Xenopus tropicalis: one gene and its partners. The protein of the gene in region 1 purifies or fractionates together with the protein of each later gene. This does not show direct contact. Links are inferred from orthologs where the notes say so. Each region holds a gene or a part of one and is shown in the gene's direction. Other genes may lie near its edges.

Evidence for each region. The genes of interacting proteins can lie anywhere in the genome.
Region 2: the proteins of sf3a3 (region 1) and phf5a purify together in Homo sapiens (affinity purification with mass spectrometry; 3 studies listed by BioGRID and IntAct, with this or other methods). This does not show direct contact. The link is inferred for Xenopus tropicalis from reciprocal best matches to the Homo sapiens genes SF3A3 and PHF5A.
Region 3: the proteins of sf3a3 (region 1) and snrpd2 fractionate together in Homo sapiens (co-fractionation; 3 studies listed by BioGRID and IntAct, with this or other methods). This does not show direct contact. The link is inferred for Xenopus tropicalis from reciprocal best matches to the Homo sapiens genes SF3A3 and SNRPD2.
Region 4: the proteins of sf3a3 (region 1) and snrpd1 fractionate together in Homo sapiens (co-fractionation; 3 studies listed by BioGRID and IntAct, with this or other methods). This does not show direct contact. The link is inferred for Xenopus tropicalis from reciprocal best matches to the Homo sapiens genes SF3A3 and SNRPD1.
Region 5: the proteins of sf3a3 (region 1) and rbm17 purify together in Homo sapiens (affinity purification with mass spectrometry; 4 studies listed by BioGRID and IntAct, counting the BioPlex papers as one, with this or other methods). This does not show direct contact. The link is inferred for Xenopus tropicalis from reciprocal best matches to the Homo sapiens genes SF3A3 and RBM17.
Region 6: the proteins of sf3a3 (region 1) and snrpb2 purify together in Homo sapiens (affinity purification with mass spectrometry; 6 studies listed by BioGRID and IntAct, with this or other methods). This does not show direct contact. The link is inferred for Xenopus tropicalis from reciprocal best matches to the Homo sapiens genes SF3A3 and SNRPB2.

What each region holds. Positions count from the first base shown.
Region 1 is NC_030678.2:83,832,454-83,837,359, reverse strand, and holds the start of sf3a3 (splicing factor 3A subunit 3), read left to right. Parts: upstream 1-1,785; 5' UTR 1,786-1,792; coding exon 1,793-1,888; intron 1,889-2,973; coding exon 2,974-3,021; intron 3,022-3,113; coding exon 3,114-3,166; intron 3,167-4,413; coding exon 4,414-4,519; intron 4,520-4,906. UniProt on the Homo sapiens protein: Component of the 17S U2 SnRNP complex of the spliceosome, a large ribonucleoprotein complex that removes introns from transcribed pre-mRNAs.
Region 2 is NC_030680.2:120,351,003-120,355,977, forward strand, and holds the start of phf5a (PHD finger-like domain-containing protein 5A), read left to right. Parts: upstream 1-1,627; 5' UTR 1,628-1,761; coding exon 1,762-1,813; intron 1,814-3,806; coding exon 3,807-3,830; intron 3,831-4,975.
Region 3 is NC_030684.2:70,385,660-70,390,721, reverse strand, and holds the start of snrpd2 (small nuclear ribonucleoprotein Sm D2), read left to right. Parts: upstream 1-1,714; 5' UTR 1,715-1,785; coding exon 1,786-1,787; intron 1,788-4,760; coding exon 4,761-4,940; intron 4,941-5,062. UniProt on the Homo sapiens protein: Plays a role in pre-mRNA splicing as a core component of the spliceosomal U1, U2, U4 and U5 small nuclear ribonucleoproteins (snRNPs), the building blocks of the spliceosome.
Region 4 is NC_030682.2:65,069,489-65,074,406, reverse strand, and holds the start of snrpd1 (small nuclear ribonucleoprotein Sm D1), read left to right. Parts: upstream 1-1,570; 5' UTR 1,571-2,013; coding exon 2,014-2,027; intron 2,028-2,243; coding exon 2,244-2,320; intron 2,321-4,918. UniProt on the Homo sapiens protein: Plays a role in pre-mRNA splicing as a core component of the spliceosomal U1, U2, U4 and U5 small nuclear ribonucleoproteins (snRNPs), the building blocks of the spliceosome.
Region 5 is NC_030679.2:84,315,589-84,320,602, reverse strand, and holds the start of rbm17 (splicing factor 45), read left to right. Parts: upstream 1-1,666; 5' UTR 1,667-1,753; exon of another isoform or gene 1,754-1,797; intron 1,798-4,125; 5' UTR 4,126-4,139; coding exon 4,140-4,262; intron 4,263-5,014. UniProt on the Homo sapiens protein: Splice factor that binds to the single-stranded 3'AG at the exon/intron border and promotes its utilization in the second catalytic step. Involved in the regulation of alternative splicing and the utilization of cryptic splice sites.
Region 6 is NC_030681.2:29,851,812-29,856,959, forward strand, and holds the start of snrpb2 (U2 small nuclear ribonucleoprotein B''), read left to right. Parts: upstream 1-1,800; 5' UTR 1,801-1,839; intron 1,840-1,841; exon of another isoform or gene 1,842-2,091; intron 2,092-3,720; 5' UTR 3,721-3,739; coding exon 3,740-3,803; intron 3,804-4,556; coding exon 4,557-4,729; intron 4,730-5,148. UniProt on the Homo sapiens protein: Involved in pre-mRNA splicing as component of the spliceosome. Associated with sn-RNP U2, where it contributes to the binding of stem loop IV of U2 snRNA.

The sequences.
Region 1 (4,906 bases):
TTAAAAATCGAGTTTAACCTGGGTCTCCTTCATGGCATCCTAACAGGATTGCAGCAATGGCCAAAAAAACAGGCAATTTGTGGGGGATGGGGGGTGTTTATAAACGGCTGAGTTTGGGAGACAGGGTTTGGCCAGACACAGTAGGGTCCAATAGATTAGGGGAAGAAGACTGCTATAGGAGAGAGAATTTGGGGGGACTGGGGTGTAACTCGACAGATATTATTCATCATTTACATCAGTCCCTGCCCCAGAGGAGCTTACAATCCAAGTTACTGCTGACATAACCAGTCATGGAAGGGATGGGTGGAATTCTAAACCCTTTTCTAAAAGGTTAAAGAGAATGTAAAGTCAAAATCTCATCTCTGTGTTTATATATAGCCCTAAGATGGGAAAGTTGATCTAAATAAATCAGATGGCAAAGCAGTTTAAACAGAAAAACTGAGGATACTTTCTCTGGCTGAAGAGATAAGGGTACAAGGAGAGGGGATGCACATCAGTTTGTCTTCAGTACCTGCCTGTAAACACTAGTGTAGGAGAGGGTCCTATGAGGGTAAAAGAGCAGCATCTACTGCTACGAGTAGACAATGGCAGACAGCGTCGGACTGGCCCGCCAGGATACCAGGAAAACTCCCGGTGGGCCCAGGTGTCAGTGGGCCCCCTTGCTTCTATTTAGCCTATTTCATGGTCATTCCCTATTTCTGTATGGGATCAAGGAAGCTTGATAGATGGAAGAATAGAGTATAGTATGTAGAGAAAAAAGACTAAGATAATAATGAGTTTGAGGGAGGAATTAAAAGTTTTGAGAGTGGGCCCATGGTCTAGGGGTTTCTATTGGGCCCCTGCCATCTCAGTCCGACACTGATGGAAGAGCACAGATCCAGCAATCACCCACAGGCTCTATCCTATTTAACACCTCAAGAGTAGCATGAAGGGCTGCAGCCATTCCAGGCACAGCACCTATATTATTCTATGCATCTCAGTCTGAGAAATGATAATGCATGGGGACTCAAGGAACTCTGGCACCAATTCCTCCATCTTGGCTGACATGCTGATAATCTCCTTGCTGATGCACACTGAACTAGGGCCAACTGCTTGATTTACTGACCAGTTGTTTTCAGCAGGATGAGGAAGAGAAATCCTCCTATGAGAGCACAGAGTGCTGGTTACATTTGCAGCATCATTTACACTTACATTCTCATAGTAGTGCCTGCAACAGCTACTAAGTTATAAACAGCAGGTTCAAACAGAACCGGGGGGGGGGGGGGGGGGGGGGGTTTCATAGGGGGTTTAATTTACTAGATGGTTTATAGTCGAAAAACTTAAGTGAAAAAATCCAAGTGAAAAATATTCGTAAAAACGTGAGAATAACGAGTCTCCACATGTGACATTTAACTTACTTGACTATACTAGTATTTGCTCAAAAATGGCTATTACAACTCATTGCAGCAAAAAACATGTATCACTCCAGGAACAGAAAAGTTTGGCTACGTGTATCGCCTATCTTGGAACTGGAAGAACCCGCGCACGGCTTAGCAAGAAATAAATAGGCAATTACATGTCACACAAAAGAGGACCGTCTCTATTTTAGTTATTTAGGTACAAACCCACACTATAAACTAAGATCTTTAACACCCCCGACAACATAGTCAATTATAGCATGGTGTTTCACTATATCTCCTCCACTTCCTGCACCCGGAACACTTTAGCGGCGGGCGGAACCTTTATTTCCCATAACCAAGGCCTGTAGGGAAGGTTATTCTCGTATCACTTCCGTTCTGGCGGCCTTTCCAACATGGAGACGATTTTGGAACAGCAGCGGCGCTACCAAGAGGAGAAGGAAAGGCTCATGGATGTGATGTCCAAAGAGATGATGTCTAAAAAACCCACGGTAGGGCCAATGAAGGTTGCGCAGAGAACGGGCTAACAAGACGAGAGATGGGGGGAGTGTATGTTTGCTGGGCATGCTATGCATTTCTGCAATGAAATGGACTCGGTCCTTAGAACGAAGATTATTAGTTTCTAGCAGTGTGTGGTGCTTAATGATACACTCTTTGCTCATAAGTGTCGGAAGGTGAGTGCTGGGTGTCAGGAAAGCAGGCGAGGAGAGTTCTGATAGGAGAGAACTGTATGGAACTTCCGCCTCTTTAGGCTGCACCGGGGAAGCAGCAGGATAACCAGCAGCACGATAACCAGCAGCACTAGTATGTGAGGGGAAAATGTGAGGAGACGTACGTTTGCCATATAGATATATAAGATATCTGCCTAACTTTTAAATTGCTCCCCCCCCAAGCAGTGGTTTTCAACGGGGCCCTCAGACCTAGTAAGGTTATATCTTTTTAAAGTCATTCAGCCACAGTTCCAGGGATCTCTGTGTCAGTAAATAAGTGATCACCCCAAATTCCACTACTACCCAGTCTGAGTTTCCAGGATTTTCTAAGGGAGAGAATTTAAATACACATACGCACATTAAAGCCTAACTGGCCCCCAAGCCCTATAGTTGGAGTACAACAGACATACACTCAAATAAAATGGTAGATCTTCCAGAAAGCAAGTTATGTGATGTGAAGTGACATGGTGGGTAAGACCTGCCTTTTAGATATATGAGGGTGCAGCAGTTTTGGTCAATAAAAAATAGTTTGAAAGAGCACCCAGTGCCTCTTCAATAAAGAAGTTTCAACAAAGTTCCACAAAATGACTTTAAATTGCTCATCATTTTGTACAAACTTGCATTTATTTTATGTTTTATTTCAGCAGTGCTTCGGGACAGTGAACCCTTTTGATTTTGATTTGTTATTACTGATTCTTTAACTGCTACAGAAAGTTTCCTATTTTCAGAGTAAATTATAAAAAAAAATGTATTTCACACTTGATTGGTTTACATGTTTTATACTTAGTTTTGTGTTGCACAGGACTTGTAAATGATTGTTTTCATACATGCCCCAATTTAATGTATGTCATTCATTCTTGCTCTAGTTACGGGAACAAATAAATTCAGATCACAGAGCCAGAGCTATGTTAGATGTAAGTATTCATCTCTGTTGTTTACCTTTTATATGGGTTATGTACTATAACATTGTGAACTAGTTACTGAAACATTTTACATTTTTTTACAGCAATACATGGAAGTGAGTTCAAATCTAAGGGATCTATATGAAGATAAAGATGGGTAAGAATATTTCTTATTAATTGAAGCAATGATTATAGCTTTGTATATAAAAATTGGCTAAACCTTCTATGTATCCCAATGGATAGAAATTACTAGTCCTTCATTATTTGCTAACCTGCTTTGGGCAGGTTTCTCTATAGCTTTTAAGGGCAGGCCATACATCTGTATTATATGCATATGAACAAAAAAGGGGGAAGGATTTGTTTAAAAGTGACTTTGCACACAAAAAGCTTAAAAACACACAAAAAAAAATGGACTGCTTCAAAGAAAACAAGATTTTGAATATGCAGGTTATAAATAGCTCATACTTGTAAGTCAATTTAAATAAATAATAATTCCAACCTGTTCGCTTTGTCGGATTTTACATGACTGCTTGCTTATCTACAAGGGATCTTGTTGTTAAACTATATTAAGCCTCTGAAGCAAATATTTTTTTTTGAGTGCAGTGCATGATGTATTTGACCAGTGCATCATTACTGACCCTTTAAAGTCTCTTAAACCCCCTTCCCTCATTCAGTTTATTCAGTTGGTATATCCTAATTATTTAATATACTGTAATTGGTGGCATTGGAAATCAGTATAGTAATTTTACAGTGCCTTTATTCCCTGTCACCTTCAATGACATAAATCACAGCACACCCCTCATTCCTAACTGCTACCACCTTTTTGGCAAAAACAGCAGTCTTGCCCTATATTATTGTAGAGATTTTAATTATATACTCAGGATCAGTGCAAATGTCCCACAAAGGATAATTTTCCTCCTTAGTTAGGCCGTTATCTTTTATGATAGAGTTACAAACTTAGGTGTTAAATTGCACCACAGTAGTTGCCCAGATCAACGAATCAATTTGAACAATCCGCTAGAGAATAAAAATAACAATCGGATTGGCTGCTATGTGTGCCTGCATTGGTGAAATTTAGTACCTTTTTTTTTCCAAAAACGCAACATTCATACTGGAGCTACTTTCTGGCAAAGCCACTCATTTACTACTGCATGTATGAATGGACAGCTCACTAATAGGCAATGTGTACATAATCATAGTGTAAATCAGACCTGTACAGCTGGAGGCTTTGGGCTGTATGCAACCCTCGTAGAGGTTTTAATGGCCCTCAGCATCATATGGCCACCAAACACACAAAAAATATCAGGTAAACAATTTGATAGCAGAAAAACTAAATAACTTTTGGCAAGATAAAGTAATGATCATTTCAAACTTTGTTTATAGTATTATTCCATTCTTTTATAGATTACGCAAGGAAGAACTCACTGCAATTTCTGGGCCAAATGAGTTTGGCGAATTCTACAACAGACTCAAGTTAATTAAAGAATTTCACCGAAAACATCCAAATGAGGTGGCTTTCTAACAAATGTTTCAGATTTTGGCACATAATGAAACCAACCTTGCAATATGTAAATTATGTTATAGAGAACCCTATTCTTAGCTACTTTTTAGTTGGTCTTCATTTTTTTCTTTAAATAGTTTTTAAAAGGAATTTTGGGGGTTATTAAAATTTTAAAGTTATTGCTTTATTTTTTCTTATGTTTCTATTCAGAACCCTCCAAATGATTTTCTGATCAAACCATGGCCAGGTTGCTAGTATAAATTGTATCCTAGTCAAAAGATTGCTGCTGAAATTCCAAATTCACGAGATGCTGAACAAAATAGCTTAATAATGCAAAAAAGAAAAAAAGCAATTGTCTCAGAATATAACCAGCATACTAAAACTTAATTTAATATA
Region 2 (4,975 bases), on another chromosome or scaffold:
ACTTTCCTTGGGCCAGGTTGGAGCTGCAGAGTGCCATTGAGCCCTATGGGAGACTTTCCTTGGGCCGGGTTGGAGCTGCAGAGTGCCATTGAGCCCTATGGGAGACTTTCCTTGGGCCGGGTTGGAGCTGCAGAGTGCCATTGAGCCCTATGGGAGACTTTCCTTGGGCCAGGTTGGAGCTGCAGAGTGCCATTGAGCCCTATGGGAGACTTTCCTTGGCCGGGTTGGAGCTGCAGAGTGCCATTGAGCCCTATGGGAGACTTTCCTTGGGCCAGGTTGGAGCTGCAGAGTGCCATTGAGCCCTATGGGAGACTTTCCTTGGGCCAGGTTGGAGCTGCAGAGTGCCATTGAGCCCTATGGGAGACTTGCCTTGGGCCAGGTTGGAGCTGCAGAGTGCCATTGAGCCCTATGGGAGACTTTCCTTGGGCCAGGTTGGAGCTGCAGAGTGCCATTGAGCCCTATGGGAGACTTGCCTTGGGCCAGGTTGGAGCTGCAGAGTGCCATTGAGCCCTATGGGAGACTTTCCTTGGGCCAGGTTGGAGCTGCAGAGTGCCATTGAGCCCTATGGGAGACTTTCCTTGGGCCAGGTTGGAGCTGCAGAGTGCCATTGAGCCCTATGGGAGACTTTCCTTGGGCCAGGTTGGAGCTGCAGAGTGCCATTGAGCCCTATGGGAGACTTTCCTTGGGCCAGGTTGGAGCTGCAGAGTGCCATTGAGCCCTATGGGAGACTTTCCTTGGGCCAGGTTGGAGCTGCAGAGTGCTATTGAGCCCTATGGGAGACTTTCCTTGGGCTGGGTTGGAGCTGCAGAGTGCCATTGAGCCCTATGGGAGACTTTCCTTGGGCCGGGTTGGAGCTGCAGAGTGCCATTGAGTCCTATGGGAGACTTTCCTTGGGCCGGGTTGGAGCTGCAGAGTGCCATTGAGCCCTATGGGAGACTTTCCTTGGGCCAGGTTGGAGCTGCAGAGTGCCATTGAGCCCTATGGGAGACTTTCCTTGGGCCGGGTTGGAGCTGCAGAGTGCCATTGAGCCCTATGGGAGACTTTCCTTGGGCCAGGTTGGAGCTGCAGAGTGCCATTGAGCCCTATGGGAGACTTTCCTTGGGCCGGGTTGGAGCTGCAGAGTGCCATTGAGCCCTATGGGAGACTTTCCTTGGGCCAGGTTGGAGCTGCAGAGTGCCATTGAGTCCTATGGGAGGCTTCCAAAATCATGCACAGAAGGATCAAAGTCAGAAAGATTTTCCCACATTTTACGACTGTTCAAATATAAATATATATATCGTAAAGATCCGATTTTATTATATTCTTAAATACAAATTTTTCGTACTTCAAAAAGCATGATACAAAAAAACGTATTTGATACGATTTTTTTTGTATCATGCTTTTTAAACGTATGAACATCGTACTTCGATAAATCTGCCCCATAGAATATATTTTAATTGCATTTTCTTTATTGTACTTTATTTTTGGCAAAGTATGTTTAGCTGTAGACTGCCCCTTTAAAGGAAACAGTACTATGGGGCCGAAAAAACGCAAATCTTTTATAAAGCGAAACGCCTATTAACAGGATATCCGGTGTAAAAGTTCATCGCACAAGAAGGAAGAGAAGCGTCTAAGCGATTCTTTAACCAATTGGAACCCACAAGCTAAGTTTCCTAGGCGTAACAGCAAGGAAATGACGTAAAGTCCATGGGCGAGAAAGAGGCTTGGAACACAGAACTGGAGTGAACGCGCGGCCGGCGAAGGAAAGGAATTTAAACAGACATGGCGAAGCATCATCCAGATTTGATTTTTTGCAGAAAACAGGCGGGCGTGGGTGAGTTGCGCTGGGTAATGTGTTCGGTGTAACGGTGTAAAACTGAGGACAGAAAACTCTCCTCTCGTAGGCATTATAGATTGGCCGTTTCTATTGATTGCCTTTCTAAATCATTCGGATAGCACGTTCGGTACTTGTGTATACTCTCCTTGTATGCGTATGTAACAGGTATATGTGTTCCCTCACAGGGCTTCATTAACCCTCTTTTATTTGTTATCCACAATACTTCAGTTTTATAATTGTTATGTATATTTATGTTTCAGATTGTAGTTTGAGAGGTGGAGCTTGAACCTGATCTAGTTATACGCTGAATGCTAACTCCTTGATTATTGCAATTCTACTAAAGCACAATCTGACTTTCCTATTTAAACTCATGCAACAGAACTTGTCCTATATTTGCAGAAATCTGCAGAGAAACCTAACTTCTTATTTAAGGGAAATGTTGATTATTATAATTACAGAGGTGATCTGCACAGTAATGTTACTATTGAAGTGCTTTCCAACATGAATTTCTTATGTTATGAATGTGAGGGAAAATGACAAAACACAATGTTTAGGTGCATCGAATGGGTGAGATTACTCTGTGACCTGTGTAATGGCAAAAAAACAGCGTGCTATAGAAACACAGATTTGTATTTTTTATTTTTTTTTAATGTTTTCCTTTTTCTAAAGCTACATTGTATTTAACATAACAGATAATGAATTCTAAAGCTTAGGGCTTTCATTGTTGTGGACCTCCTGGTAATCTGATACTATACATGCAATGATACGTCGGTACATACAATACTGAAACAGTTCCAGCCAATACCATTTGAGGTTAATTAATGCCTTACTGAATTTATAAATTAATTTCATGTTTGTACTGGCAAGTTGTTGGAGCTAGTAAAGCTAGTCTTTACTACAGCTTTCAAAGGACATGTAAACCATTTATCTTCCTACCACGTATATAAGTTGGCACATACCCCCCCCCCCAACCAAACTTTACCATTTGTACTGCATATAACCCCTCTGTTTGCCAAAACCATCACATTTTCCTAAAGCAAATAGCAGCTTTACCCGGTGGCCATATTCTCTCTCGCACATCTTTAGTGACATTAAAGGAGAAAAAAATGTTAGGCAGCCCCACGTGGCTTTAATCGCTTACTTTTTACCCTGTGTGGTGCCCCTGTTAGGAGAAAACCGCACCAGCACTGGGTAGCTGTGAGCAAGTGTCTCCTCTTCCTTCTCATCAAAATCCCTGGGCCGGTGCATGTGCAGTAGAGTGAAAAGCCGACTTTTTTGTTAAAGTTTGGCTTTTCACTCTACTGCGCAAGTGCGCAAAGAAAGAAGAGGAGACCACACTCGCAGCTACCCCAGGCTGGTGCGTTTTTCTCCTAACAGGGGCACCAGCCCGGGGTAAAAGGAAAGCAATTAAAGTCACTTGGGGGTGCCTAACGTTTTGACACCCCCAAGTGACTTAGCCTTTCCTTTTCCTTTAACATCTGTAAATTGCACATATTAAAGTTACTTTAACAAGAAGTCCTGCTTGGATTGTGCCCTGTAACCGTAAACTGAGCTCCAGCAGATTACACAGCGAGAGCAGCGTTTCTAGGGAAACCAGCAGTGATCTCTTCATTGGCTGCTAGACTGGAGGCTGTGTTTGGTAACCTGAGTTAAGAAGAACTGAGCATGCTCGTTAGCCACCAGCCGAAGTCAATTCATAAGGGATGGGGCAGAGCGGGTTAGAGGAGGAAAAGAAATCCTAAGTGATTAAGGGGATACTGCAGCCTTTCTATTAACCGTTTGAACAACAGGAGTGGCAGGTATTTAAAGATTTCAATGAGGCTGTTCACTGATTACATTTTTGTTTGTTTTACATGTCCTTTAAAGCATTTTAGATATTTAAGATATGTGTACAACATGATGACCACTGTTTAATATATATATATATATATATATATATATATATATATATATATATATAAACACTTACATTTATAATTTTCTATTGCAGCTATTGGAAGACTCTGTGAAAAATGTGAGTATATATAATTCTTAAACTTTTAAAATATAAATTGCATTTGTTCATATGCAAAAAATGTTTCACCTTTGTCTTCTTTGTGCAACTGATTATTTCTCAACAAGCAATGGTTTTTAAGTGTTGCTGCCAGTCCTATATCTGATATCTCTGATATATCTGATTATATATTCTATATTCAGCAGTTGTATTACATTAGACATTATTAAAAAAATGACATTGCTTAACATCTGCTGAGTGGGGAAAATCAAGAATTTACAGTCTGTTTAAAAGTGTGTGTAGTTGTGGGGTGCATGTAAGGTTAGACTTAAGGTCCTCATACACCATAAGATCCGCTCGCTTGGCGATGTCGCCAAGCGAGCGGATCTTCTCCCGATATCCCCCACCTATGGGTGGGCGATATCGGGAGAATCCAGGGTAATTCGATCCCTGGGGCCAAATGATCGAATTATAACAGCAGGTATAGGAAAAGTCGGTCCGGGGACTGCATCAATGAGCCGATGCGGTCCACGATCCAACTAGATTTTCTAACCTGCCCCATCGAGATCTGGCCAATTTGAGGCCAGATATCGGTCGGGCAGGCCTGTTGGGAGTGCGCTTACACGGGCCAATTAGCTGCTGAATCGGCCCAAGGGACTGATATCGGCAGCTACTATCGGCCCGTGTATGGGGACCTTTAGTCTTTCATTACCTATATATCACAGCATGGTATGGGGTGCAAATCATTGCCTTTTTAAATTATCAAACAGGATGGCTGCAAATCAAGAGTGCAACAGTTCTGGACTAAAAGTCCATTGAGTTGGAGCTGAATAGCCTTGTCTTTTTGAGTTTAATTGATTTGTAACATTTTTCAGTCTTACCATGTATAGTTATAGTATTACAAGTCTTAAAGGGTAAGGAATTAATTAGGGAGTCCCTAAGGAATATAATCCGTTACCTTGGATTTTGGGCTTGCTCTCCTCTTTACTGAAAGGTGCACTAGCATAGTGGTGTATTTCATTAGCACAGCACAGCCATCTTCCAAATGATCCCTTGGCATGTACTATAGGCTTGCATAGGAAATTGTGTGCAGTAGAGTAAAATCAGGGATTTATCTTTCCTGCATGTGTGCGTAATCAGCTGCAAGGGATTCCTGGGACTTTACA
Region 3 (5,062 bases), on another chromosome or scaffold:
ACCCTTTAAGGGGTGGTTCACCTTTAAGTTAAAGGAACAGTAACACTAAAAAATAAAAATGTTTTAAAATAATTAAAATATAATGTACTGTTGCCCTGCACTGGTAAAAGTTGTGTGTTTGCTTCAGAAAGACTACTGTAGTTAATAGAAATAGCTGTTGTGTAGCCATGGGGGCAGCCATTTAAATTGAAAAAAGGAGAAAAGGCACAGGTTACATAAGAAGATACCAGATAAACTGTGTAGAATACAATGGGAATCTGCTACTTATCTGTTATCTGCTTAGTAACCTGTGCCTTTTCTCCTTTTTTCAATTTAAATGGCTGCCCCCATGGCTACACAGCAGGGTATTTATATAAACTGTAGTAGTGTTTATGAAGAAAACACACAACTTTTACCAGTGCAGAGCAATAGTACATAATATATTAATTATTTTTATACACTTTCATTTTTTGGTGTTACTGTTCCTTTAACTTTTAGTGTGTTATAGAATTGCCTATTCCTATTCATTATTTCTTATAGTTTTGAATCATTTTTTTATTTTCTTCTAACTCTTTCCAGCTTTCAAATAGGGGTCACTGACCCCAGCAGCCAAAAAACTATTGCTTGGTGAGCATACAGTTTTATTGTTATTGTTACTTTTTATAACTTGTTTTTCTATTCAGGTCCTCTCCTATTTATTTACCACCCTTTCATTCAAATTGCTACCTGGTCGCTAAGGTAATCTGGACTCTAGCTCTAAGATAGCTGATGAACAAAAAGTGAAAGAACTAAAAAAAATACTACAAATAAAAAATTAAGACCAATTGCAAATTGTCTCAGAATATTACACTCTACATCAGGGATCCCCAACCTTTCATACCTGTGAGCCACATTCAAGTGGAAAAAGTGTTTGGGAGCAACACAAGCATGAAAAAGGTTCCTGGAGGTGCCAATGAGAGCTATCATTGGCTATTTGATAGCCCCCATGTGGACTGGCAGCCTACAGAAGGTTCTGTTTGGCATTATACTTGTTTTTTATGGCTGCAAAACATGCCTCCTTTACCAGAAATTCAAAAATGAGCACCTGGTTTGAGGCCACTGGGAGCAACATCCAAGGGGTTGGAGAGCAACATGTTGCTCGCAAGCTACTGTTTGGGGAACACTGCTCTATATCATACTAAAAGTTAATTCAAAGGTGAAGAACACCTTTAAATCTGCTACGCAGTAAAGCTATCCATTCAGTTATTTTACACAATAGGACACTAAAAAGTGTACACATTTTCTGGTCGGTCTTCCAAATGCTTTTGCAATTCAGATTTGTTTTCAGTTTCAAAGTTATTAAGCATGTTATAAGCGTCTATTATAATTATTATGTAACAATTGCGCCACCTACTGGTATATCCCTCCAATTGCACAATCTGAGAAAACATGGTCAAAATGAAACATGGAACTGTTCTTATTGCGCTCTTTAGCGACTGAATTCCCAGCACAGAGCGTTGCCTTACATACTGGAACAATATTGGAATAAGATTTGCCTTGTCCTATAACCACTCTAGGAACTAGATGCGCCCTCTTTGTTAACTAATCCACCCCGCCTTTTCTCTGTCAGATTACGCCGCTGCCCCTCTGCGTAGCAAACTGGAGGGAACTTGTTTCGTGTCGATCACGTGGGCACGTTTCTACAGGCTTAACCAAATCAAGCAGGAACTAGCCGCTAAAGTGGCCCGGAAGCGGAAGTGGCCCTTCAAAGGAAGCGTTCTACACGCCGGGAAAACGTGAGAAGGGAAAGGAAAGACAAAAAGAAAGATGTGAGTAACTGGTGGAATATCTTCAGCCCAGCTTTAAATACTTAAAAATAAGGAAAAAAACTAGCCTTTTGTATCTACTTAAGTTTAGCTGATTGACGCTTAGAACGAATGCCTCTATGTAGCAGAGCATGCGATTGTACTAGCCGGAACTTGCCTGCACTTAGAAAATGCTGTGTAGTTCTGTGATTTAATTACTGTGGCAGAGATGGCAGTGCCAAAAAGCTTCCCTTGCAGGCTACCAGCACCAGGTCGTGTGTATAAACAGCTCCCCGGGTTTTCTCATTATGCAATTGCATGTGACACTTGCTCACTATATACAGGCATGTTAATAACATGGCTACCTGCAGCAAGTTCTCCATCATCCGGGTGTGGGTGGCACATCGCTATGAGCATTTTTTTGGACAAAATGGTACTGTTTCCCCCAACCTAAGTGCGGGTTCTATTAGCCCAATTCAAATCCGATATGTGTCTTTTAATACTAAGCAACTATTCAGTATACACGATTTAAACATTTTCAATGGTTCTAAATGTTTTCAATCAATTTCTAATCAATTCCATATCTTTCCTGGTTGGACCCACATGACAAGTTTCTACAAAGGAAATATTCTGCAGCTTTATGTGCTTGCACGATTATAGAGATCTGTGTGGTCAACTTAAACACTAATTTGTGTTTAAAAAATGCATATGACTGAAAAATATGCCTTTTAACACATTCAGCCCAGACTTTTTTGTTAGTTTATTAAGGCTTAATTGCTCTAGCAATAAGGGGTGGGACTTCACACATGCTCAGTAATGTTTTTGACTATGGGGCACTCCTTTAAAAACATGGAGGCAGCAAGTAGATAGCGATGGGTAAAAACAGCTTTAAACATGATTATTTGGGGAAAATTAAACCTAGTAATTAAAATCGTACCAAAATGGACAGTTAATAGGGTAACCCATTTTTAATAAAATTGTATTCTCCATTAAACAAAAAATCACCAGTAGACGTTTTGTTGTCAGAAAAATAGTGTTATATCTGATTTAGTACAGTGGTGTGAAAAACTATTTGCCCCCTTCCTGATTTCTTATTCTTTTGCATGTTTGTCACACTTAAATGTTTCTGCTCATCAAAACCGTTAACTATTAGTCAAAGATAACATAATTGAACACAAAATGCAGTTTTTAAATGAAGGTTTACGTTATTAAGGGAGAAAAAAAAACTCCAAATCTACATGGCCCTGTGTGAAAAAGTGATTGCCCCCCTTGTTAAAAAATAACTTAACTATGGTTTATCACACCTGAGTTCAATTTCTGTAGTCACCCCCAGGCCTGATTACTGCCACACCTGTTTCAATCAAGAAATCACTTAAATAGGAGCTACCTGACACAGAGAAGTAGACCAAAAGCACCTCAAAAGCTAGACATCGTGCCAAGATCCAAAGAAATTCAGGAACAAATGAGAACAAAAGTAATTGAGATCTATCAGTCTGGTAAAGGTTATAAAGCCATTTCTAAAGCTTTGGGACTCCAGCGAACCACAAATGGCAAAAACATGGAACAGTGGTGAACCTTCCCAGGAGTGGCCGGCCGACCAAAATTACCCCAAGAGCGCAGAGACAACTCATCCGAGAGGCCACAAAAGACTCCAGGACAACATCTAAAGAACTGCAGGCCTCACTTGCCTCAATTAAGGTCAGTGTTCACGACTCCACCATAAGAAAGACACTGGGCAAAAACGGCCTGCAGGCAGATTTCCAAGGCGCAAACCACTTTTAAGCAAAAAGAACATTAAAGCTCGTCTCAATTTTGCTAAAAAACATCTCAATGATTGCCAAGACTTTTGGGAAAATACCTTGTGGACCGACGAGACAAAAGTTGAACTTTTTGGAAGGTGCATGTCCCGTTACATCTGGCGTAAAAGTAACACAGCATTTCAGAAAAAGAACATCATACCAACCGTAAAATATGGTGGTGGTAGTGTGATGGTCTGGGGTTGTTTTGCTGCTTCAGGACCTGGAAGGCTTGCTGTGATAGATGGAACCATGAATTCTACTGTCTACCAAAAAATCCTGAAGGAGAATGTCCGGTCATCTGTTCGTCAACTCAAACTGAAGCGATCTTGGGTGCTGCAGCAGGACAATGACCCAAAACACACCAGCAAATCCACCTCTGAATGGCTGAAGAAAAACAAAATGAAGACTTTGGAGTGGCCTAGTCAAAGTCCTGACCTGAATCCTATTGAGATGTTGTGGCATGACCTTAAAAAGGCGGTTCATGCTAGAAAACCCTCAAATAAAGCTGAATTACAACAATTCTGCAAAGATGAGTGGGCCAAAATTCCTCCAGAGCGCTGTAAAAGACTCGTTGCAAGTTATCGCAAACGCTCAATTGCAGTTATTGCTGCTAAGGGTGGCCCAACCAGTTATTAGGTTCAGGGGGCAATTACTTTTTCACACAGGGCCATGTAGGTTTGGATTTTTTTTCTCCCTAAATAATAAAAACCCTCATTTAAAAACTGCATTTTGTGTTTACTTGTGTTATCTTTGACTAATAGTTAAATGTGTTTGATGATCAGAAACATTTTGTGTGACAAACATGCAAAAGAATAAGAAATCAGGAAGGGGGCAAATAGTTTTTCACACCACTGTATATATTCCCAATTCTTGCATAGACCAGTATGTTAATGAAATCTAAACTGTGGTGGGGCTAATAGTGACATGAATGGTTTATAATCTCTCTAAAGAGCTGCAGAATGTATCAGCGCGTTATAATAATCTGTATGTATACACCCTTTTATTGCACAGTGCCAATAAATATGTTGACACTTTATAGATCCATGTTAATAACATATTGCCAAATAATTCCCTGCACTTATACACAAAACTAAGAGTTGGACAGCGCATATTGTGATTTTGTTAACTGACACCATTGTTTGTAATTAAAAGGTTTAATAATTTAATGCCATCTCACACTGATTCTAAATCTCTTCAGGAGTCTCCTTAACAAGCCCAAAAGTGAGATGACACCTGAAGAGCTACAAAAGCGAGAAGAGGAGGAGTTCAACACAGGGCCACTGTCTGTGCTTACTCAGTCTGTGAAGAACAACACACAAGTTCTGATCAACTGCAGGAATAACAAAAAGTTGCTAGGCAGAGTAAAAGCCTTTGACAGGTACTATGTTGATAAAAACTTGGGAAATAAAGGGAATGAATCGGTGCATGTTTTCTGCCTCTCTAATAATTCATTATGTGCAAGTGCAAACATTTTTTTTTACAATACCACAACAAAATAAA
Region 4 (4,918 bases), on another chromosome or scaffold:
CTCTGTTAGGCTTAGTTCCCATGGCCAGTGTACCTCTCTGGGTCTTCCGATCCTCCCTGAGCTGTTAAAGGAACCATTTAGTGTAAAAATGAAACTGAGTAAAATAGACTGCACGAAGTACAAAAAATATAACGTTTGGTTTGCAATCAGTCCTGCGTGCTCACAAACTAACTTGAACAGTTATATCCCATGTGGCAGGAAGTAGAGTTTCTGGCTGTTATGTTAGACATCTGCTCACTCCAGCCTTTATAGGTTACATCCCCAACCTTTTATACATTCAAATGGAAAAAGTGTTGAGGAGCAACACAAGCATAAAAATAATCCTGGGGGTGGCAAATGAGAGCTATGATTGGCTATTGGTAGCCCTATGTGGACTGGCAGCCTACACAAGGCTCTGTTTGTCATTATACTTGGTTTTTATTCAACCAAAACTTGCCTCCTAACCAGAAATTCAAAAATAAGCACCTGCTTTGAGGCCACTGGGAGCAACATCCAAGGGGTTGGTGAGCAACATATTGCTCCTGAGCCACTGGTTGGGGATCAGTGCTTTAAGTAGTACTCATTGTGAGGGTATTGGGTCCAAGAAGTGAAGTGTAACGCTTGTTTGGCTATATATAGACAAAACCCATGCTAGTGTTAGGTTTAGAGCATGGGCTACATGCGACTCTCTTAGACAAAATGGGCCTTCGCTAGGTGGAAGAGACCATGCGGAGTAAGGGTGTAGTGGTCCCAGGCTCAGTGGAGCTGTTCCTTGAGATTCAGAAGGCAGCCAAAGAGAAAGTCACATCTCCTTGCTAGACACTATATGAGACTGCAAGGGGTGTGATCAACCCAAATAACCAATAAGGTGTAAACTATATACATGGGACTTTGCCCAGCAGGGGCGGGCCAAGCTGACCAGGCGCCCTAGGCAACCCGGTTGGCCACCCCCCACCCCCTTGCGTGTGCTTAGGCATTTGGCCACTCCCCCTCTCCCCGAATGGCGCCAAAACAAACGCAAGGGGGGGGGGTGCAATCCAATCGGTCATTGCCTCCACCACTAATTACAAGCGGTGGGGGCAATGACAAGTAGCAGGACTAGGGGTAGGCAGAAGAGGCTCCTGTCTGGCGCCCCCCAATCGTTGCGCCCGAGGCAGCTGCCTCTTCTGCCTACCCCTAGTTCCGGCCCTGTTGCCCAGTAACAGTACAAAATCAGAAGAGGTAGGATTTAAAGCCATAGGGGAGCTTAACCCTATGGGTCCCTACGGAAGATTCAAACCTCAGCACTAGTTGTCTAAAGGTCTCTAACAATGGGGATTGCAGACAGCATATCAAAAGCATGTAAAAAAAAAAAAATGCAGTGGCAGGTAAGCAGGTAAAGGGATGTTGTCTTCAGAAAACGAAACATTAACTTTTACCTAAAAATAAAGTTTAATAGTGAGAATACTTATTTTCATGCCATGCAATGCCAATGGCCAACCTAGATCCAAAATGAAATTTAGCTTCAATACCACGCCCTCTTCTACTTCGGCCCCGCCCCGATGGTGTTGTAGCGTTTCTGTTGAATTAAATGCACCAGTTGACTTTAGCTCAGCTATGTATGCTAAGTTTTTATTACAACAGTATTTCTTTATAAATGCATTGCGCTGTATTAGACGAAATTTTAAGTAATCCACAAGCATAAAAGGCTTCGCTGGAACGCCGCTTTGTGCATTTTATTTAAGCAAGTATCTTAACTGCAGTGTAGGCCTCCCCTTATAGTATTGCTTTTTAAAAGTCGAAAATGTAATTCTCCTTTTTCTACGTGGAGACAGGCTAGCGTTTTCATCTTCTATTACACATGTAACAAAAACTTCCGCCCTCGACTGGGGCTTCCGCTTCCGGATCTGACGTAGGTGCCGATTTCCGCTGGAACGTTGCTTTCGCTCAATGAGAATTCGGAGGGTCTAAAAGTAAATTTTCGCGTTTCATTTTGCCAGTCCTATAACCCTTTTCTGGCCGAAGGAGTCGGATCCGCGTTCGTATTAAGAAGTCATGAAGTTAGTTAGGTAAGCGTTTAGATTGTTATGGGTTCCTTCACAGAGGATGGTGGTGGATTGAGAGTTACGTTTGAGAGCTTTGTGTAAGTAGAAGATTACGGCGGGAAGTAAAGGCTCCGTCGGATAATAATGTATTAGCGAGTCTGCGTTGTAATATAAACTGTGTAACTAATGGGTTCATCACGAGCGGCTGGCCATGAACGCTTTTGTTTTTTTTTCTCATAGGTTTTTGATGAAATTAAGTCATGAAACTGTCACAGTGGAACTTAAGAACGGAACCCAAGTGCATGGCACGATCACAGGTAATACAGAGGGGCACATAAATATATACCATAACATTGCTATGTGTACTTAATGTGCACAATGGAAATACTTATTGATAATATCTTTATAAAAGAGACATACCATTTTGTCTTGCTTCAGTGTGTATTGGTTTATATACTACTAGCAAAGGTGTTACTGGTGGGAAATAATGAATTTTCTCAGACTTAATATATAAATAAGCTGTGTGCATCCATGATTGCCCAGTGGGCAGGTGGAACCATTTGCAAGCTGGCATTAAATAATGTGAATTACTGAAAGTCTAGCATGCACCCCAGTGCTGGATATGGCAACTTCAGCCAGCTCCTCTGATTGGTCTCACACTTATGAGCATTTGGATCTGTGGGTCAGGGTGAACATTTATTGGTAGGAGGTAGGTCCGGTGGGGAATATGTAGAAAAGGGGAAGCTTCCCCACAATTGTGGTTTGACTCTGATCATAATTGGCTGTGTATTAGTAACCCCTGTGGTGCAAAGAGCAGGGACTGGTTCTGGTCAATGTGTCTTCTCTGTAAGTCGGTGAAGCCATGCTGTTTTGAATACAGAGTGTAGGTCTTGTCATATACACATGCGTGTCACCTCAAAAATACAGTTCCGGCAGCATAGGTTACATAACTTCTGCTGTCTTTTGTTGCTAAGACTTGGCTTCTGTGCAGTAAGTTTTATTTTGATGGAATGTGCTAAGAAAAGTAGCGTTTATTGAAATTTTCGCCCAAAAACCCACTAGCCCCACCCACCTGTTTTACTACCTGCTGCCTTCTTTTCCCAGGCTGCATCTAGGCCAGTGGTTCGTGAGCAACATGTTGCTCTCCAACCCCTTGGATGTTGCTCCCAGTGGCTTTAAAACAGGTGCTTATTTTTGAATTATGGGCTTTGAGGCATGTTTTGGTTGCATAAAAACCAGATATGCTGCCAAACAGAACATCCTGTAGGTTTTTCAGTCCATATAGGGGTTACCAAATAGCCAATAACAGTCCTTATTTAGTAACCAAAGGAACATGTATTATGCCTGTTTTGCTCCCCAAGTCTTCTTATATTTGAATGTGACTCACGGATAAAAAAAGGTTGGGGATCCCTGATCTAGGCAAACCTGATAGGGAGCTGAAGCCTTCCTTTGTGTGAGTGCAGGGCTGTGATTGGCAACCCCCCCTCCTACTGTGTTTATGGCAGGGACCGTTAGGACACGCCCCCCTCCCTCATTTGAAACAGGGAACTAAGAGAATATTTTTGTTAATCCTATATGCCTCCTTTAAATTTTGTTGGATGCCCTAGTAAAGCACCAATAACTGCAAATAACAGTGATACTAATCTGTGATTACTGTTGTGTTCAGCCATTGGACAACTTCCCAGTTTATGGTACTCAGTGCTAATTTTTAAACCAGGGGCACCTAATCTCCCCAAAATGCCATCCCACCGACTAGAATGTAAATCGCCGATGCAGTGGCATATGCGGCAGGGCGATTTGCCGAAGTTGCAAAGGAACTTCGGCAATTTCTGCGCCATGTATGCCGTCCCACCGGGAATTACATTCTAGCCGGTGGGATGGCATTTCGGGGAGATTTGTCGAGTGGCGACTAATCTCCCCGTCTGCCACAGCCCTTAGTTTACAAAATATTCTGCCCCTGCTTGCAATGCCTATTCACATCTCCAACCTATTCTGTTGTGTTCTTTCATGTTACCACAAATTTGTTTGGACATGGGACAACAACTTGACAGAGACATCTCATCCGGGAGAAAGTCAACAGCTATTTTTAGTTACCAAAATTTTGGTCAAATAGAATGGGCCAGTCTGTTGTGGGCAGGGGGACCTGTCAGATTTTATCATACCATAGGGTACAACCAAATGCAACAAAACCTTTTTCAAAGATGTTCTTTTAATTTGTCATACGTTTACCTTAAAGGGCACCGATCGCGCTAAAATTGCTTCCCCACCAAAGTTGCAGGCTAATAGAGCCCACACTCTGGTTGGGAGATGCAGTAGTTTTTGGGTTTTTTTTAAAGTCTGTCTGCACTAGGCCGCCCCCCACCAGGAGGGAGCTCCCAGTGCGGCGGCCATGTTAATTAAGCATGCATGCGCATTATGCGGGAGACTCCCGCTCACTTATTATGTGCATGCATGTAATGTAGGAGCTGCGGATGCGACTTGCCCACCTACATCACACACATATGCATAAGCAGCGATTTGTGGCACTCACTTGTTATGCACATGTGAGTGCCACAACATGGCTGCCTGAACCAGGACCTTCCTCCCAGTGCTGGCAGCCTAGCACTGTAGGGGGCTATAAAAAAAAAAAAAAAAAAACAATTATTATATAAAGGCTCTGTTAGCCCACGCTAATAATTTTGTCTCAAAATATCAGTCATAAAACAAATTTAGATAAATGGTTTTACTACCCCCTTTTGTTTGCCCCTAAGTCACACACCTACCAATCCGATTTTGCTAGTACTTGGTATCATAAAATTAATCAAAAGGACAAACCTGTACATTTTCAGAGCCCCTGAGCTTTTAAAATTTGCCATCCATTTACCCCAAAATTACAATCCTTCCATCTTACCTTCAGTAATATGGAGTGGCCCAAT
Region 5 (5,014 bases), on another chromosome or scaffold:
AGAAAACACAATTCTAAGCAACTTTCCAATATCAATTTATTATAAATTATTAGTGCTTTAAAAGTTATTTGTAAATGTTATTGCTATAGAATGAAGCATTTGCTGAACTCCTGGTTGTTACTTTTTAAACAATATTGCAAGGGCCAGTGTCCTCCAGCAAGCAGGTCTGTAAAATCTTCTGGCATTTGTTACATTGTTTCAAGCTCCAGAGCCACCAGGGCAGAGAATAGAACGGACAGGCAGACACTGTTTTTCATAGCAGTTATATATACAAATTACTAAAAAACCATTACATATATATAATGAATGTATATTGCAAAGTTGCTTAGAACTACTTTTTATTTTATTAGGCAAAAAAATTATTTTTGGGTTTGACATGTCCTTTACATCCAAAACTCCATTATTGCAGAATTTCTTTCCCTTATGTGATAGACACAGAACCATATACCTGAGAATCCTGAAGTGGTCTTTCTATGCTCTTACCTCCTTTCTCATATTTCATAGCATCTGCAGAAGACATTAAAGGAACAGTAACACCAAAAAATGAAAGTGTTTTAAAGTAATTGAAATATAACGTACTGTTGCCCTGCAATGGTAAAACTGGGGTGTTTGCTTCAGGAACACTACTATAGTTTATATAAATAAGCTGCTGTGTAGCCATGGGGGCAGCCATTCAAGCTGGAAAAAAGGAGAGAAGGCACAGGTTACATAGCAGATAACAGATAAAACATCATTGTATTCTACAGGGTTTATCTGTTAGCTGCTATATAACCTGTGCCTTTTCTTCTTTTGAATGGCTGCCCCCATGGCTACACACCAGGATTTATATAAACTCTAGTAATGTTTCTGAAGCAAACACAAAACTTTTACCAGTGCAGGGCAACAGTACATTACAGTTTAATTTCTTTAAAATATATACATTTTTTGGTGTTACTGTTCCTTTAATTCAGTACACAGATATCCATTCTATTACACATTGTGCAAAATAGTTCAACTCTAACATGGGCTAAAGTATTTAGATATAAAAGAGTATACTTTCTATATGATATTTGACAACCACACTCTGTAACCACTGGAGCCCAGATACGGCTTCCTTTAAAACAGCGGTTCTCAACCTGTGGGTCACAAATTTCCGATGGTCTTAGGAATACTTTTATGGTTATTGGTCACCACAACATGGGGAACTGCATTAAAGGGGCGTGGCATTAGGAAGGTTAAGAACCACTGCTTTACAACCTTCCATCCTAGTCACTATATATATTTGGGATTTTTTTTTCTTCTTTCCCACCTGGCTAAACGCTTGCCATACCTTTAGAAAGGTTATTGCATTCTTTTATTCTAAAGCTTGGATACTTTTCTCTAGCCCGCACCCAACCTATGCGAAGTTGTTATTATAGCTCCGCCTACCAATAATAAAACTCAAAAAAAGTCTTCCAGCAGTATATCAAACGATAATAATTTCATAGTTAGCAGCATGTTCCAAACAGCAAAACAAGAAAAAAAAGTTTATTTTCCTTCCCTGACAAAAGTAGCTGCTGCGAGTAGACTACCGCCCACAGCAATTCTAGCAGCCTACGCTCGAACACTACATTAAGACTCACCCCCGCCACGCTTCGCGTCACTTCACTTATGTGCGTGTACTCGGGACGCCATATTCTCGCGACATGAGACTTGTGACGTCATTAGTAGGCGCCTGGCAAAAGCAAAGGAGCTGGATGTTAACGGCGTCACGGGACGTTTAAGCAGTGATACGGTACTGCCGGCTGGGAAAATCGGAACTGTCCCGCTTGTTGGGCGGTACGTTTAAATAACTGGTTGCAGTTCTGTTACACCGCTAGATGTTTGTGCGCGCTTCCTGACCTAATGCATTGTTAAGGTTTTCAGCATTGGCTTTCGCCCTATTTTTATTTGGCAAGTTAGAGCTGCATGATGTTTGTGCGTAATTGCCGAGACATTGCACACCCCAAACGGTGTCATCTGAAAAATGTCAGTATTTAAAAATAAATGGTGCTTATCCCAAGAAAAATGTTGGTTCTGCAGTTTAAAGGAGAAGGAAAGGTATAAATCACTAGGGTGCCAAAATATTAGGCAACAACCTTTCCTTAAACCCCGGGCTGGTGCTCCTTTTAGGAGAAAACTGCATCAGTCCTGGGGTAGCAGCCAGAGATTGATCCCCTCCTTCTTCTGTCTTCACGATACATGCGCAGTAGAGTGAAATCTGAACTTTAACATGAAAGTCAGCATTTTTACCCTACTGTGGATGTGCCGGTCCTGGGATTTGGAAGAACGAATACAGACGGAAGAGGATTGCTGTCTTGCAGCTACCCCGGGGCTGGTGCGGTTTTCTTCTAACAGGAACGCAAGCTCATAGTGAAAGGTAAGAGACTACAATCACTGGAGGTGTCTAACATTTTTTGGCACTATAAATAGTAATTTTAGTTCAAAACGGAAGCACACCTGTCAAATTCAACCTTTTGTCTAAATTAAACTTGGCCAACTGCAATCTGGCAAGTCAACTTGTACTAAGGTAATTTAAGTACATTCGTATCAAAAAGTTTGGGAACCCCTCTCAGCCTGCATAATTTACTCCACTTTTAACAAAAAAAGATAACAGTGGTATGTCTTTCATTCCCAGGAACATCTGAGTACTGGGGTGTTTTCTGACCAAAGATTTTTAGTGAAGCAGTATTTAGTTGTATGAAATTAAATCAAATGTGAAAAACTGACTGTGCAAAAAACCAAAAAAAACCACAAAGGTTGTTCAGTATGATGGTTTTTAGGGGAACGCTACAAAAAGCTATCTCAGAGGTTTCAACTGTAAGGAATGTAATCAGGAAATGGAAGGCCATAGGCACAGTTGCTGTAAAACACAGGTCTGGCAGGCCAAGAAAAATACAGGAGTGGCATATGTGGAGGATTGTGAGAATGGTTACAGACAACCCAAAGATCACCTCCAAAGATCTGCAAGAACATCTTGCTGCAGATGTTGTATCTGAACATTGTACATTCTACAATTCAGAGCAACTTGCACAAAGAACATCGTGATGAGAAAGAAGCCCTTTCTGCACTCACGCCACAGACAGAGTCGCATGTTGAAGCAAAAGCTTATTTTGACAAGCCACAGTCATTTTGGAACAAAGTGCTTTGGACTAATGAGACAAAAAATCAGTTATTTGGACATAACAAAAAGTGCTTTGAATGGCAGTGTAACGGTACCTGGTGGTCTAGTGGGGCGATGGGGATGCCCGCCATATTCTCTTAGGCGCGCGTCCATCTCCTTTTTAATGCGCATGCGTGCCTGTCTTCTCCTTTGACATGCACGCATGCTCACTCGCATTTTTCCGCTCGGTGTGTGAGTGAAGTCATTTTGCCGAATATTTAAAACGCTTCCTTGTCTATGTTCATTGCCCAACTTAGGTCTTCTTCATGTAAGTTCCTGGGTGTGTTTCTTGTATTGCTCCGTTCTGACCCTTGCCTGTTCCTGACCATCTTCATATTGCTGCCTGAACTGACCTTTGCCTGTTTTTGACTACTCTTCCGGATTCCGTTTTGGTACTGCGCTGTCTGATTGTTATTGGCCTCGGCCTGACCTCTGGCTATGCTCTTCCTGTAACACGAATCTGGTTCCCTTGCTTGCTCAGAACTCTCTCCTTGGGTCTCTCACTGTAAGACCTGGCGGCATCCGAGTAGTGAAGGGCTCCTCCTGACGTGAAAGGCGGCTGTTAAAGGCAGAACGTGAGCCGTGACCGGACCCTTGGCACCTGTTCTGAGTTTTGGGATACCGATCGTGACAGGCAGAAGAAGAACACCACCACATTCCAAGAAAACACCCGCTACAAGAAAATAGAACATTCTTGTCCAAAGCATTATCCGCTGGCTGCTGCCAGAAGTGTTCTCTGGCCTATGCACCTTACTAATACGATTTTGGCAATGTACACAGCCAAAAGTTCAATACTGTAGTTAACATTGCTTCATGCAGTCTTTTTGTCTGGGTAATACAAGCCTTCAGTGAATGCCTTGTGTAGCCTTGATTGTCCCTTACCTGAGCCATATCACATAGCATGTCATTCAAGAAGTTGCATGCAACCAGAATTATGTATATTAGCCAATATTTTTGTTTTCCAGGTTAATGCAATAAAATGTCTTTATATGATGATCTTGGTGTGGAGACCAGTGACTCAAAAACAGAAGGATGGTCAAAAAACTTCAAGTTATTGCAATCCCAATTGCAAGTTAAAAAGGCAGCTCTTACACAAGCAAAGGTACGTTGATTCTCACTAGATGATCAAATGAAGGTTTTAAGCCAGATTTGGCTGAATCTGGCCATAAAATTTCACTCATTTGCGGAACTTAAAATTGGTGGGCCATATACACGGTCATACAGCCCCTTGCAAAAGAATTATAAACAGACCTGTGCAAGGACTGCATAAATGGTTTGACGCAGAGTGTGGTTTTGAGTGTGGCTGCTCGAGCCATGTCTCTTTGTAGTTTCATCCCAGTATGGAAGATTGTCCTCAGTGGGCTGCTGTATATATTTGTTTGTTTCTGCATGCACACTACAAAGTGGGCCATGAAGAAGGGAAGTAAAACTACTACAATCCTTTCACATTAAACTTGAAGTTGGCACTTAAATAATGTTATTTGGGCATTAATTGTGAATTCGATTCATACTTTTTCTTGCTGATTGAGCCAAATGATAGATGTTGGACTATTTTAACTGTCGTAGATCTCATGACGGAGGCCAGGTGGCAAGACTAGATCACTGGGTGACAAAGTCTAGGCACCCCTGCCTTATGGGATTCTCTAACCTGCATGACAAATGCCTTCCTGATCCTTTGGCAGATATCATTTGAGTTCACAGCTATTGTTGGCTTGTGTATGGCTACCTTTAGAATTATTTTTTTGTTCCTTTGTCCAAATAGAATGCAGTTTGCATTGGTTTTATGCTCTACTTAAGCAGGAAAAGCCACTACGTTTTGCAGGGTAACAATACAAAGCAGATCTTTGCCTGGTT
Region 6 (5,148 bases), on another chromosome or scaffold:
TGAGTAAGGGAAGGGGGGGGAAGGACACAACAAAATGTTGGGCTTCACCAAGTGTGTGCAAAAACGGTTGTATTAGAGATCTCAGCAGCATGTGGTCTTCTTTATATCATTTATCAGGCAGAAAACCTGCTGTGAGGACCCTGAATCTAGATGACCGCTGTGGGAGATACAAACACATACTGGAGATTGCAGAACTACAAAATGCAATGGGTGTTAAAGTGAAAACTGATTGGGTGTAGTTAAAAAGCGCAAAGGAATTTTAATGTGCAACATTTGTTATCTCTCTATAGGTCAGGCCCTCCAGCCTTTTTTAAATTGCAAAATCTATACTGGCACCCCCAGTGGTGTAAATATATAGGAAGCAGACCCCACAGTTGCAGGGGTGGGTCCAGGAGACAAGGGCCCCAGACCACATGGTCTACTTTCTCTTTAGGTGTAAGGAGATCCCCACTCACTGGCTGCTCTCCTACGTGAGAGTGAGTGGTGGAGAGTGGGGGATGTATGCAGGTGAGTGGGGGATCAGTATGGGGTTAAAGTGTGGACTAGGCCCCTCCAAAGTGCTGTGTAGTTACACTGTATATATTTTTAGAGCTAGAGTAGACTCTAAAATACAGTAGATATTGGTAAAAGAATTGTCACTTGTATTGGGGTCAAAAAAGAACTAAAGCTTAACAAAGATGTGGGGTGCAAATGCTGATAAAAGCCATAATACAATGCTGATAAGTTGTTAAACCAGATTTTTATTACATGAAAGGAATACAGTTTGCTCCAGAATTTAATAATAAACCCTGTAGCATCAGCTTCAATAACAGGAGAACCTTATTTTCTGCTTTCTGATTTCTGACAACCCCTAAGCTTTGCTTCTCAACAGCTGCCCAGAGCCCACTGAGTATGTGCAATGTCACTGACACATCTAACAAAATATTGTGGTTGCATTACGAAAGTCACAAAATTTTCGGATCCGAACGTTCATAAATGGCGTGAAAACCTTTCTGGCTTTGTAACCTTCAATGCATGATTTTGGGAAGCCTTCCATAAGACTCAATGGCACTCTGCAGCTCCAACCTGGCCAAAAGATAGTCACGATACCAAAGGTTGAATGAATCCCGAAATGGTTGTAGTCTTTGCGAAAAATACGAAGTTAGTGCAAATCACAAAAAAGTCGTGGAATGTGAGCGAAATTATTGTGGACATTCCGAAATGTTCTATAGAAAAATGCTATTTTTTTTTCTAAAAAAATGAATGGGCCCCTATATGATAACATGAAATAAGGACTCAAAAAGGCATGGAGTGGATCATTATCATGGGGTTGGTTAACAGCTCTGGTGTGCTTGTTTTGTGCACCTCTTCTCAAGATGTAATATAAAGGACATTTACCCAGCTGCAGTAACCTAGAGAGCAAGCAATACATGTTTGATTTTATACAGGTGAAATGGTGCCATAAGTTACTATAGATGAGGTAAAATTTGTACTATTGTTGCTTCCCAAATGAATTTAAAACAGCCCTGACCCCCACGTATTGCCCTAACGTTCCCTGCCATAATTTAATAATGAATACCGCCGTTCCACTGTATTACACAGGTGCTTAAAATTTTGGCGGAAAGACAAAAACAGTTGTTTATTATATGACACTCTAGTCGCAACCTGGGAATGTACAAAACGTCAAAGAAAATAACTTTATGATCAATTATGCGAAGGCGGTTTTGCCCTTACGAAAGATGGCCGAAGTGACCTCGGAGCCGTGACGTACGTCTCTTTCCTGTTCTAATGCGCGTTTGCTGGAAATCAACGTGCGACGCCAGCTTGGAGCCGTAAGGCGCACGGAAGCGTGTGTGAGCGGTAAGGAAGGAGCTTGTATGGGTGATTGCCGGGCTTGTTTGTCATTGTACGAGGGTTTCTTTTGGTAATAGTTCTATACGTTCCGCTCCTTCGCTTGGTGAGAAGCTGGCAGCGGGTAATGAGCAACAACTTCCCCAGCAGCCACGTCCAACTCCTGCCCGTTCTGTTGCTATTGGAATAAAACGCGCCTGTAGTGCGGGTTTATATGTAGCTGTAACTCGGTTAAGGGGCAACTTCGTGTGGTAATTAATGGTATTGATTGATTTGTAACTGCAATCAGTTTCCATACATTGCAACCAATCAATAGAGCTGTCCCTGATCTGTGTGCGACTGGGGGTCGCCAGTGTATGGCTGGGAAAGAGCTGCACTAAAGCTTATAATTGTGTATTATACACACACTAATATACACAGGGGCAGGCTAGTTTGCCTGTATATTGTTGGGTATGGGAGAAAAGTGCAGTGACTAAATCATAATACTACAGGTATGGGATCCATTATCCAGAAAGTTCTGAATTACGGAAAGGCCATCTCACTTAGACCCCATTATAAGCAAATCATTTTAATTTTATAAAATGATTTCCTTTTTCTCTGTAATAATAAAACAGTACCTTGTACTTGATCCCAACTAAGATATAATTACCCCTTATTGGGGCAGAACAGCCCTATTGGGTTTATTTAATGGTTAAATGATTCCCTTTTCTCTGTAATAATAAAACAGTACCTGTACTTGATCCCAACTAAGATATAATTAATCCTTATTGGAGGCAAAAAATCTTATTGGGTTTATTCAATATTAAAATGACTTTTAACAGAGTTAAGTGATGGAGATCCAAATTACGGAAATATCCCTTATCCAGAAAACCCCAGGTCCCGAGCATTCTGGATAACAGGTCCCATACCTGTACTACTAAATCCAGCAGTTACATGTTTTTAATAATGGGATGTTATTTTGTAGTAGTCTGTATATTTCATATTTATTGAAAAATATGCCGGGCTATGCCTTATAGTCTTATCTGTGTTGCTGAAATTGTAGGCTATAAAAAGAAATTCAATTTAAAAGCATGCATTATACTATTACAGGCATGGGACCCCTGGGCTTTTCCAGATAAGGGGTCTTTATATAATTTGGATCTCCATGCCTTAAGTCTACTAAAAAAATAATTTAGTTGGGAACAAGTACAAGGTACTGTTTTATTACAACAGAGAACAATTTAGTATATTTTCAAATAGTGAATTATTTTAATAAACTGGATAATGGGTTTCCAGATAACAGATCTCATACCTGTACAAGCATGTATTTGGTTTTATGTATAGATTTATGTAGGTTGAATTCAGTTGGAATTTCATGGCACATGTTATATACAATAATAATATTCTGATCTGAAAGTGGGTCTGACAGATGTGGTTCGCAGGCTTGTCTAATGTGCAATATCATGGCGGGTTAGTTTTGGTAATATTACAGTGTGCCTGGCTTTTGAAAATTATTGCTTTACTCTAGGGAAGTGATTCCCAATGAGTGGCTCATAAGCAACATGTTGCTCCCAATGGCCCCAAAGCAGGTGCTTATTTTTGAATTCCTGGCTTGGAGTTTTGGTTGCATAAAAACCAGATGTACTGCCCAACAGAGTCCCTTTAGGCTGCCAGTCCACGTAAGGAATACCAAAGAGGTAATAACAGCCTTTTTTTGGCACCAGAAGGAATTTTTTTTTTTTTTTCATGCTTGTGTTGTTCCCCAGCTCTTTTTACATTTGGATGTGGCTCACTGGTAAAAATGTGTGTGTGGCACAGTAGTCCATCTCCAAGGAGAAAAGAACCTTGAGTAATACTGTACTTTTTTTCTATATCTAAGGTCCTTTTTTTTTTTTTTAACATCTCTTTCAGTATTTAGAATATACAAGCCATGGATATTCGGCCAAATCACACTGTCTACATCAACAACCTCTGTGATAAAGTAAAAAAACCGGGTAAGTGTGAGGAGCGTTTAAATGTTGAATATTATACACTCTCAGTCTACACTCTATACAGTCTTTCCTGGCAGAGTACACTTTACATCTAGACAGCAGCATTGGTATTGCAACTCCTTATGCTGTTATCTGTGAAGGCATTTTTTACTCTCCTATATCCTTTGTATTCCCCTAAATAGTAAAAACTGCAGAGAAATGAAGAAAAACAAACAAACTTAAATATCCTTCAAGCTTTAAAAGTGTAAAACTAACTTAAAAAAAAATCTGCTCAGAAGTCTACTTTTTCCATTTCATATACTACTATTCTTCTGCTATTTATTATGCTTCTTGCCCTAGATATTATTGCTGTTTATTGATCTAGTGCTCACCAGTGCTTAGCATTTGATGGCAGCAAGTAGGTAAAAAGGCCATCAGTAACGATTTCTTATCATTTTAGATGTTTTTTTTTTATTGAGGATGGTGCCTGCCTAGGTGCTTCAGTTAAAATGTGCACCACTGCAATCAGCAAGCAATACGAAAGGAGAGAGTGTCGGCAACATGTGCAATCACGGCCGCACCCAGTCATTTGTATAATCACTAATATGCACAGAAAAGCTTCTTGTGCAGAATATCCCATGGCACTGGTTTTAGTAATAAATGTAATAACTAATACTGATATTCTATTTTCACCTTATCAAAATCCGTGCAAGAGATTTAACCATACATGTTTTTATACTTATACTGTGAAGTTTTTTTTTTTTTTTTTCTTTTCAGAACTAAAGCGATCATTGTATGCGCTATTCTCCCAGTTTGGCCATGTTGTAGACATTGTGGCATTAAAGACCATGAAAATGAGAGGACAAGCGTTTGTAATCTTCAAAGAGCTGAGTTCTGCTACAAATGCTCTGCGGCAGTTGCAGGGTTTCCCTTTTTATAATAAACCAATGGTAAGTTATTCCTCATCCAGGAATTTTTATGATTTACCTCACTCTGTATAGAAAACTTTATATAACTGTTCTAAACTTACTGAAAGATGTATATATATTTTTTTTTATAATTAAGCATAAAACTGTAGTTTAACTAGGGACAAATGAAGGTTTGGATAATAGAAATTGCTCCACTCTGCCAGCCCTTGCACAGTAAACCTGCTCAGAATAACTAATTGAGACAAAATAACAGATATATGGCTCAAATTCCAACCTTCTGGTTCTTTTCTTGGGGTACACAATTAAAGGTTTTATTGCCTGTTGCCATAGGCCAGCCAAAGTCTAGAGTCCCTTGGAATTGTGTGGAGTGGTTGTTGGTAGAAACACCTTAATTTAAATTGATTCCAAATATTTACTGTTAGACTCTGCTGTTTGATTAT